Saccharomyces cerevisiae S288C: one gene and its partner. The protein of the gene in region 1 interacts with the protein of each later gene in a pairwise test. Each region holds a gene or a part of one and is shown on either strand. Other genes may lie near its edges. The genes, in order: FET5 and FTH1.

What was found.
Region 2: the proteins of FET5 (region 1) and FTH1 interact in binary tests that used the Saccharomyces cerevisiae proteins (3 or more experiments, as listed by UniProt).

The regions. Positions count from the first base shown.
Region 1 is NC_001138.5:47,331-51,814, forward strand, and holds FET5 (ferroxidase FET5), read left to right. Parts: upstream 1-1,808; coding exon 1,809-3,677; downstream 3,678-4,484. Other genes in the region: LAM5 (Lam5p), read right to left, coding at 1-414; YFL041W-A (uncharacterized protein), read left to right, coding at 1,404-1,595; YFL040W (uncharacterized protein), read left to right, coding at 4,020-4,484. UniProt on the Saccharomyces cerevisiae protein: Iron transport multicopper oxidase, which is required for Fe(2+) high affinity uptake. May be required to oxidize Fe(2+) and release it from the transporter. Essential component of copper-dependent iron transport.
Region 2 is NC_001134.8:633,118-637,254, forward strand, and holds FTH1 (Fth1p), read left to right. Parts: upstream 1-2,028; coding exon 2,029-3,426; downstream 3,427-4,137. Other genes in the region: LDH1 (triacylglycerol lipase), read right to left, coding at 1-264; mannosyltransferase KTR3, read left to right, coding at 505-1,719; DUR12 (bifunctional urea carboxylase/allophanate hydrolase), read right to left, coding at 3,586-4,137. UniProt on the Saccharomyces cerevisiae protein: High affinity iron transporter probably involved in transport of intravacuolar stores of iron.

The DNA of each region.
Region 1 (4,484 bases):
ACGGCGGCTTGATCTTCTTTTGGACCCCATGGAAGGCTCCCTTCTATGTGATATAATGCTTGGTTGCGAAACTGGCGAAGTTGGCGTAGTTGATCTAGAAACTGGGGATGGCACGTTTGACTTAAACGAAGAGATCATTCCACTGAAGAACGAGGACGTCGAAGAAGTCCTTGATTGATCGTGCTTGATCTCTGTAGGGTGTTCATCGGCGGCACTTTGGTTTGTAATCACTACTAAATTCTTGCGTACGTCGTTGGTCTCTGTATTTAGGGGCACTTCTTGCAGTGACTCAGCTTCAGTATCGCCGGCATTGTCATTGTTACTTGCATGCTCAAAGGGGGGACCCAATTGTTTCACAGAATCAGTACTGTCCTCATTATCTGATACGGGTTCCCAGTTATCTACATCCGACATCACCACTAATCTTTTTGTGTAGTTGCCTTCTTCACCCTTTTCTCAGATAGCGAAATGGTTGAGTGTTTTAATATAATTGTCAAGATGCTTTATGAAAAAGGGTGGGAGAAACAAGTCCCCCTGCTCAGCGATACGCGATCTCTCTGATCTCAGACATAAAGCAAACATTCTATCATGAGTGACATTGAGGATGACGGTAATTGGTAATATCTGACCTTCTGACCTCCACTCAACACAATGCAGAAAGCTATCAAATGTTTTGAACCAAACATGAAAGAGATTCAGAAAGTTGCCAAGCCAACGTGATGTCACAGGTCAAAGTTTAAGTGAAGGCTATTGGAATCTGCGGATCAGACATTCACTACTACACGGATGGCCAGGTCAGCGTAAAGTAACCTGGGAAGCCCATGACTTTGGGCCACGAATCCAACGGTGCTGTTCTTGAAATTGAAGTATCTCAAACTACTGTAAAGCGGGTGATGCAGTAAGCATATAGCCCTCATACCCAAATAGGTTTACCAAAGAGTTTCTGTGAGGCCATTATAGTTTGCAGCTCAACATACCATTTGCTGCATCACTGACCGTGACGGCACCCTTTGTCAAGAGTTCGTGGTTAACGTCGACTGCGTTTACTGATTACCGTTACAGTGAATTTCTAGCAAGAGTCCTCTGTAGATGCCACTATTTGTCGCTCTCCATGTAGTAAGGCCGTCCTAGCTGAAGTGTGGGGAGTAAGCTGTAGTTATAGGTGCTGGAACAATTGATCTGCTGGCGGGTGCGGTACTCAGAGGGTTTGGTGTTCATGAGTACACATGATTCCAAGAAAGAGCAAAATGGACAGTTTATAAACGCTATGAAGAACTGCTATAATCAGAAAAAAAGGAAGCCTGATGGATTCGAGTCCTCAGGTACTCAAAAGAGCGTTGAGAATATGCTAAAATGTGTCAAGAACGGTGGAACAGTTAAGTAGGTTGATATCCACCCCTCGAATGAAAATGTGGGGACCCTCCCAACGAGATTCCTTCAGAGAGATTACATATAAAGTGAAATTCAAGTATGACGATGGTGACTACTCCTTGGCCATTGATTTGATGTCTAGGGATTGTATTAATGTCTATGAGTTGATTACCGATAGGCTACTGGTTGATTTCCTTTCAAAAAAGCTGCTCAAGCTAAGATAGGTAAGGTGTTTATAGAATTTATCGAACTGTATCTAAATATTTTTAATATTCTTGTTTTATTACTTTGTGGCTTTTGTATTCAGTCTGCACCCTGTTTCGCCATCGATTCTTATAATACATACATTTTTATATAAGATCACAGAAAATACGAAGACGTAAAAAAAGAGTTCCGAATGAAAGAAGAAAGAATCAAGCACAGGAAGACAAGAAACGATGTTGTTCTACTCGTTCGTGTGGTCTGTACTGGCCGCTAGTGTTGCTTTGGCAAAGACACATAAGTTAAACTATACCGCTTCTTGGGTAACTGCCAATCCTGATGGATTGCATGAAAAAAGGATGATTGGTTTTAATGGCGAATGGCCACTTCCAGATATCCATGTTGAAAAAGGAGATCGTGTTGAGCTTTATTTGACTAACGGCTTTCAAGACAATACTGCTACTTCTCTACATTTCCATGGTCTTTTCCAGAATACGAGTTTGGGGAACCAGCTTCAAATGGATGGTCCTTCTATGGTGACACAATGTCCCATCGTTCCGGGACAAACATACCTGTACAACTTCACTGTCCCAGAGCAGGTAGGAACGTTCTGGTACCATGCACACATGGGTGCCCAGTACGGTGACGGTATGAGGGGTGCATTTATCATCCACGATCCGGAGGAGCCCTTCGAATATGATCATGAACGAGTCATCACTCTATCGGACCATTATCACGAAAATTATAAAACGGTTACCAAAGAGTTTCTGTCAAGATATAATCCAACCGGTGCTGAACCTATTCCTCAAAATATTCTTTTTAATAATACGATGAATGTAACTTTAGATTTTACACCCGGTGAAACGTATCTCTTCAGGTTCTTGAACGTTGGGCTGTTTGTATCCCAGTATATCATTCTTGAGGATCATGAAATGAGTATAGTAGAGGTGGACGGTGTTTACGTAAAGCCAAACTTTACTGATTCGATATATCTTTCTGCGGGGCAAAGAATGAGTGTGTTGATTAAAGCTAAAGATAAAATGCCTACAAGAAACTACGCTATGATGCAAATAATGGATGAGACGATGCTTGATGTTGTCCCACCTGAGTTACAACTCAACCAAACTATCCAAATGAGGTATGGCCACTCGTTGCCGGAGGCACGCGCATTGAACATTGAAGATTGTGACTTGGACCGCGCCACGAATGACTTTTACCTAGAACCTCTGATTGAGAGAGACCTACTTGCTCACTATGACCACCAAATTGTCATGGATGTAAGAATGGTCAACTTGGGTGATGGTGTGAAGTATGCATTTTTCAATAATATCACTTACGTCACACCAAAGGTGCCTACTTTGACAACGTTGCTTACCTCAGGAAAGCTTGCGTCAGATCCTAGAATTTATGGTGATAATATCAATGCGCAGTTATTGAAACATAATGATATCATAGAGGTTGTTCTAAACAATTATGATTCTGGCAGACATCCATTCCATTTGCACGGTCATAATTTCCAAATAGTCCAAAAGTCGCCAGGGTTCCATGTTGATGAAGCTTATGACGAATCTGAGCAAGATGAAATGACCGTCCCTTATAACGAATCTGCGCCATTACAACCGTTCCCTGAGAGGCCGATGGTGAGAGATACAGTGGTTCTTGAACCTAGTGGACATGTTGTCCTGAGATTTAGAGCTGACAACCCTGGTGTCTGGTATTTCCATTGTCATGTAGATTGGCACTTACAACAAGGTTTGGCTTCGGTCTTTATTGAGGCACCCGTTTTACTTCAGGAAAGGGAAAAGCTTAATGAGAACTATCTGGATATATGCAAAGCCGCTGATATTCCGGTAGTTGGTAATGCTGCAGGTCATTCGAATGATTGGTTTGACTTAAAAGGATTACCAAGACAACCTGAGCCACTACCAAAGGGATTTACTACTGAAGGATATTTGGCATTGATTATTTCAACCATTATCGGTGTCTGGGGCCTATATTCCATTGCTCAGTATGGTATTGGCGAGGTTATCCCTAACGATGAGAAGGTGTACCACACGTTAAGGGAAATCTTGGCTGAAAATGAAATAGAGGTTTCTCGCGGCTAATTAAACAAGAAAATATAAAAGAAAAATGAAAGAAGTTTATATTCATATTGATGATTTGCAATCCTAAAAAAAATGTAGCACTGTAAATACTGCTTACTATTGAGTATTTTCATTTTGTTCATTCCATTCCCTATATAATATTCATACGTAATCAAATCTATTGCTTTTTTTTTCTCTTTTATTTCGTTGTTTTAGCTCTGACGTTGTGACGCTCAGCCAAGAACGTCACAAAAAAAGGATGAAAATCAAAAAACAAAATATTCAATAAGTGTAATATGAGAAGAGAAAAAAGAAAGAACAAGTACAGTTTCTAACATTATACTTTAAAAATTATTAAGCACAATGACAGCAATGAAAGCTATTGTCTGGAGACTTCCCAAGATGCCGAAAATCAAAATTACAAAAACTTATGAAGTTACGAAAATTACGGCGATATTGACACTAGTAGGATTTATAATGGGCCTTGAGGTGCCGTCATTGGCAACTTTTCTCACAAACAAAACGTTTAATGAGTACTTCAAGTATCCAACTCCTTTACAACAAGGTTTACTCATGGGGTCCACCCCCCTGGGTGGTATCATGGGATGTTTTATTTGCTGCATAATGAATGATAGATTCAGTAGAATATATCAATTTCAATCGGGAATAATAATATGGAATATTGTTACGTTATTGAACTTTTGTATTTGGGATATATTAGGTTTACTAATTTGCCGGATGATCAAGGGTATGATCCTTGGGAACTTTTCAATTTTAGTAGCATCCTACGCAAATGAAGTTATCCCCCGCGGCAAGCGTGGAAGTACG
Region 2 (4,137 bases), on another chromosome or scaffold:
AACAGTATCACCCCGTATCCCTTTATCGCTCAAGTTGTGACACGTCCTTATTCTTGAATTTCGATCCGATAGTTGTACATTAAAAAACTCCTCATGTTCTGCGATAAACTTCAACCTAAAGTCCAAATCTACCTCTGGTTTGCGAATGTAAGCTACCAAATCAGCTGCATTTTCTGCATTTTGAACAATCTCTTCTAGCGTCTTTCCAGAAAGGGGCTCACAGGACCAACTTTTTGTTGCTTCTGCACGTTCTGCCATATTCATTACCAAGAGAAAAAGTTCTCGGTTTAAGGCTTTCTTCTAACGTTGAGTTACGATCCAAATGCGACTGTACCATCTTGGTAGTTCTTTATTAATGAACCCTTTAAAATTGCCGGGTTAAAAGAATGGCGCGTCCTCTTGAAACTTTTCGAAGAAAACAACGTAACTGATGGTTAAAATTTGCATAAAGAAGGTCAGGCCTCGTCTGCGGACAACAACACTATCAATATCCAGCGTGCAATTATGTCTGTGCACCACAAAAAGAAGCTAATGCCCAAATCGGCATTGCTGATTAGAAAATACCAAAAGGGAATCAGATCATCATTCATTGGGCTCATCATAGTGTTATCCTTTTTATTTTTCATGAGTGGCTCAAGGTCCCCAGAGGTACCAATAGCTCAGGGCACCAGTGTCAGTCGTGTAGCCAGTAAGGATTATTTGATGCCGTTTACTGACAAGTCACAAGGAGTAATCCATCCCGTGGACGATGGAAAGAAGGAAAAGGGTGTTATGGTCACATTGGCCAGGAATTCAGATTTATGGAACTTGGTAAAATCTATTAGACATGTTGAAGACAGGTTCAATAACAGATATCACTACGATTGGGTGTTCTTGAATGACCAACCATTTAGTGATGAGTTTAAACGTGTTACCAGTGCATTGGTTTCAGGCAAGGCAAAATATGGGACAATCCCAAAGGACCATTGGTCCATTCCATCTTGGATCGATACTGAAAAATTCGATGAGAAAAGGCTTGCAATGGGAAAATTGGATATTCCATATGGTAGTTCCGTGCCTTACCGTCACATGTGCCGTTTCCAGTCAGGGTTCATATGGAGACACCCACTACTGGAGGAGTACGAATGGTTTTGGAGAGTGGATACCGATATCACTTTATTCTGTGATATTCAGTATGACATATTCAAGTTTTTAAAAGTAAATAACAAGAAATATGGATTCATTCTTTCGGTAAGTGAATATGAGCGCACAATCCCAACCTTGTGGGAAACGACAAAGAAATTCATCAAGAAAAATCCTAAATTCTTACACAAAAATAACCTCATGAAATTCATTTCGAATGATGATGGTGACACTTATAATATGTGTCATTTCTGGACCAACTTCGAAATCGGCTCTTTAGACTTCTTCAGGTCCGATGCATACAGAGAATACTTTGATTACTTAGACAGTTCTGGTGGATTCTTCTACGAAAGATGGGGGGATGCGCCAGTGCACTCCATCGCTGCCTCTTTGTTCTTGGACAAGTCAGAAATCCATTTCTTTGACGGTCTTGGATTCCATCATCCAGATTTCACCTCTTGTCCTATCGAACAGAAGATTAGACTACAAAACAAGTGTATCTGCGAACCTAGCAAGGACGTCACCTGGACTCCTGACTACTTCTGTACTAGAAAGTACTTTTCAGCAGGAAATTACAAGCTTCCACCAGGAATTTAAAAACCAAACTACAAATAGCGCCTGCTCCGTCAAAACAGGTGCTAAAACGTCAACATGTATCTATCTATATACACATAATTCAATGTAGTAGCCACCTCACTTTATTCTAGTGCCTTCTTGGGTTCAAAAATGGGTGCGGTGCGGCCGGAGATGAAGAGAGAAAAGCAAAATTGTATCTAAACCAGCCTACAAAAACACAAACTTGATATTATAAAGAATCAAGCATCTTACTGAACTTTTGTCCTCTACAGAAAAGCGAAAAAACTCTAAGAATAGAGAACTAGAGTGGTGTTCATATTTCTAGTCACCATGGCGTTTGAGGATTATTTTTCTTTCCAGATATTCTTCATTTTCTTAAGGGAATCCTTAGAAATTGTTGTCATTGTTTCTATCCTGTTGACGATCGTCAAACAAGGTCTGTCTGTTGAGGACGACAGCCCGTTTGAAGGAAGTTCCTCTTCTGCTGGTCTTCCAAGTCCAAATACGAACACAAACGCAGATTCGACCACTGCCTTCTTACAAGCAGGGCCTTCAGACGGTAATGCTATTGGAACGTCCGCTACGGCTGCTAATAATAAATCGAGGCCGCTAAATGTGGAGGAAGAAGAAGAAATTTACGAGTACTCTAATGAGCTTAGAGACCAGGACCGCGAGTCCGATGAACATACGGCTGACAACGTTAAGCTATATCAGAAATTAAAAATACAAATTCTAGCGGGCGGCGCATTTGGTTTGTTGCTGTGTATGTTAATCGGGGGTGCGTTTGTTAGTATCTTTTATCATATTGGAACCGACTTATGGACACTGAGTGAACATTATTATGAAGGTGTCTTAAGTCTTGTCGCGTCCGTTATTATTTCTGTCATGGGGTTGTTTTTTTTAAGAATGGGGAAGTTAAGAGAGAAGTTCAGAGTGAAATTAGCTTCTATCATTTATTCAAAGGACAATAATTTGCTGGGAAACAAAACCCAAAAAGGTGTGAAATTCAGTGAAAAGTACTCCTTCTTCATATTACCATTTATAACGACTTTGAGAGAAGGGTTAGAAGCTGTTGTATTCATTGGAGGTATCGGTATTGACCAACCACTATCCTCGATTCCCCTCTCTATGGTCCTTGCTACTGCAATCAGTACGGTGTTCGGTATTTTTTTCTTCAGGTACTCAAGTTCTCTTTCACTTAAGATATGCCTTGTAGTCGCCACCTGCTTCCTCTACTTGATCGCGGCTGGTTTGTTTTCCAAAGGTGTATGGCAACTTGAATTGCAAGACTACGTCAACAAATGTAACGGTCAAGACATGAGTGAAGTAGGAAATGGACCCGGTTCGTACGACATATCTCGTTCTGTTTGGCATGTTAATTGTTGCAATGGTGAAAAAGATGGAGGTTGGATGATTTTTACTGCCATTTTTGGTTGGACGAATAGTGCTACCGTCGGCTCTGTAATTAGCTACAACGCCTACTGGTTGGTATTAATATGCGCTTTGAAACTGCTAATGATAGAAGAAAAATACGGATATATCCCATATCTACCTATTAGCTGGCAAAAGAAACGTATTATGAAAAGATTAAGCATTGCCAAGGCATCGCTCGATCTCAAACATCATACTTCTGAACTCAACTCTAGCACATCAGAGCCAGACAGTCAAAGACGGTCCAAAGATAGTTCTGTGCCCCTAATAATTGATAGCAGTGGTTCAGCAAATTGAGAACATAACAAACACACGTAATAATTTTAAGCTTCTTTTCATACATTTTACAGTAAATACTATGTACATATATATTCGTCATTAAAAATAGCTAGAAAAAGGCATGCTATAAAGACTAAATGAGTGCTCCTTTGATTTTAGATGCCAACAAAAGGTAATTCATGCCAATGTCTCTATGACGGCCACTATGTCACCAGAATCAACCATATCACCATTGCCATGGCAAATCTTGATAATCTTACCCGATTTAGGAGCGGATATAATCATTTCCGCTTTCATGGCTTCAATAATTAGTAGCCCTTGACCTGCTTCAATAACATCTCCAACAGATGCTATGGATTTCCAAAAACGCCCAGAATACTCAGAATATACAATTTCTGCACCTTCTGGGAAGTCTTCTTCCTCGTCAGGTTTGACTGTGACACTTTCTTTTAGTTCAGAGTTTGCATTTTGAATCAATTTGGCAAATTCCTCTGCTCTTTCACCAAGCTGGCCCTCCTGGAATGCTGTGATGGAATCTTTGTTTGCGTTGATCCATCTCAAGTATTCTTGATGATCAAAAACACTCTTTTCGATATTGACTTTATAAACACCATTATCACAATCTTCAGTCATTTTATCCAAATCTTCTTCAGAAACTGGGTAAAATTCGACTTGGTCAAATGGGTTCATCAACCACGGAACCTCAGAAGATGCGGCCAGACATAGTTT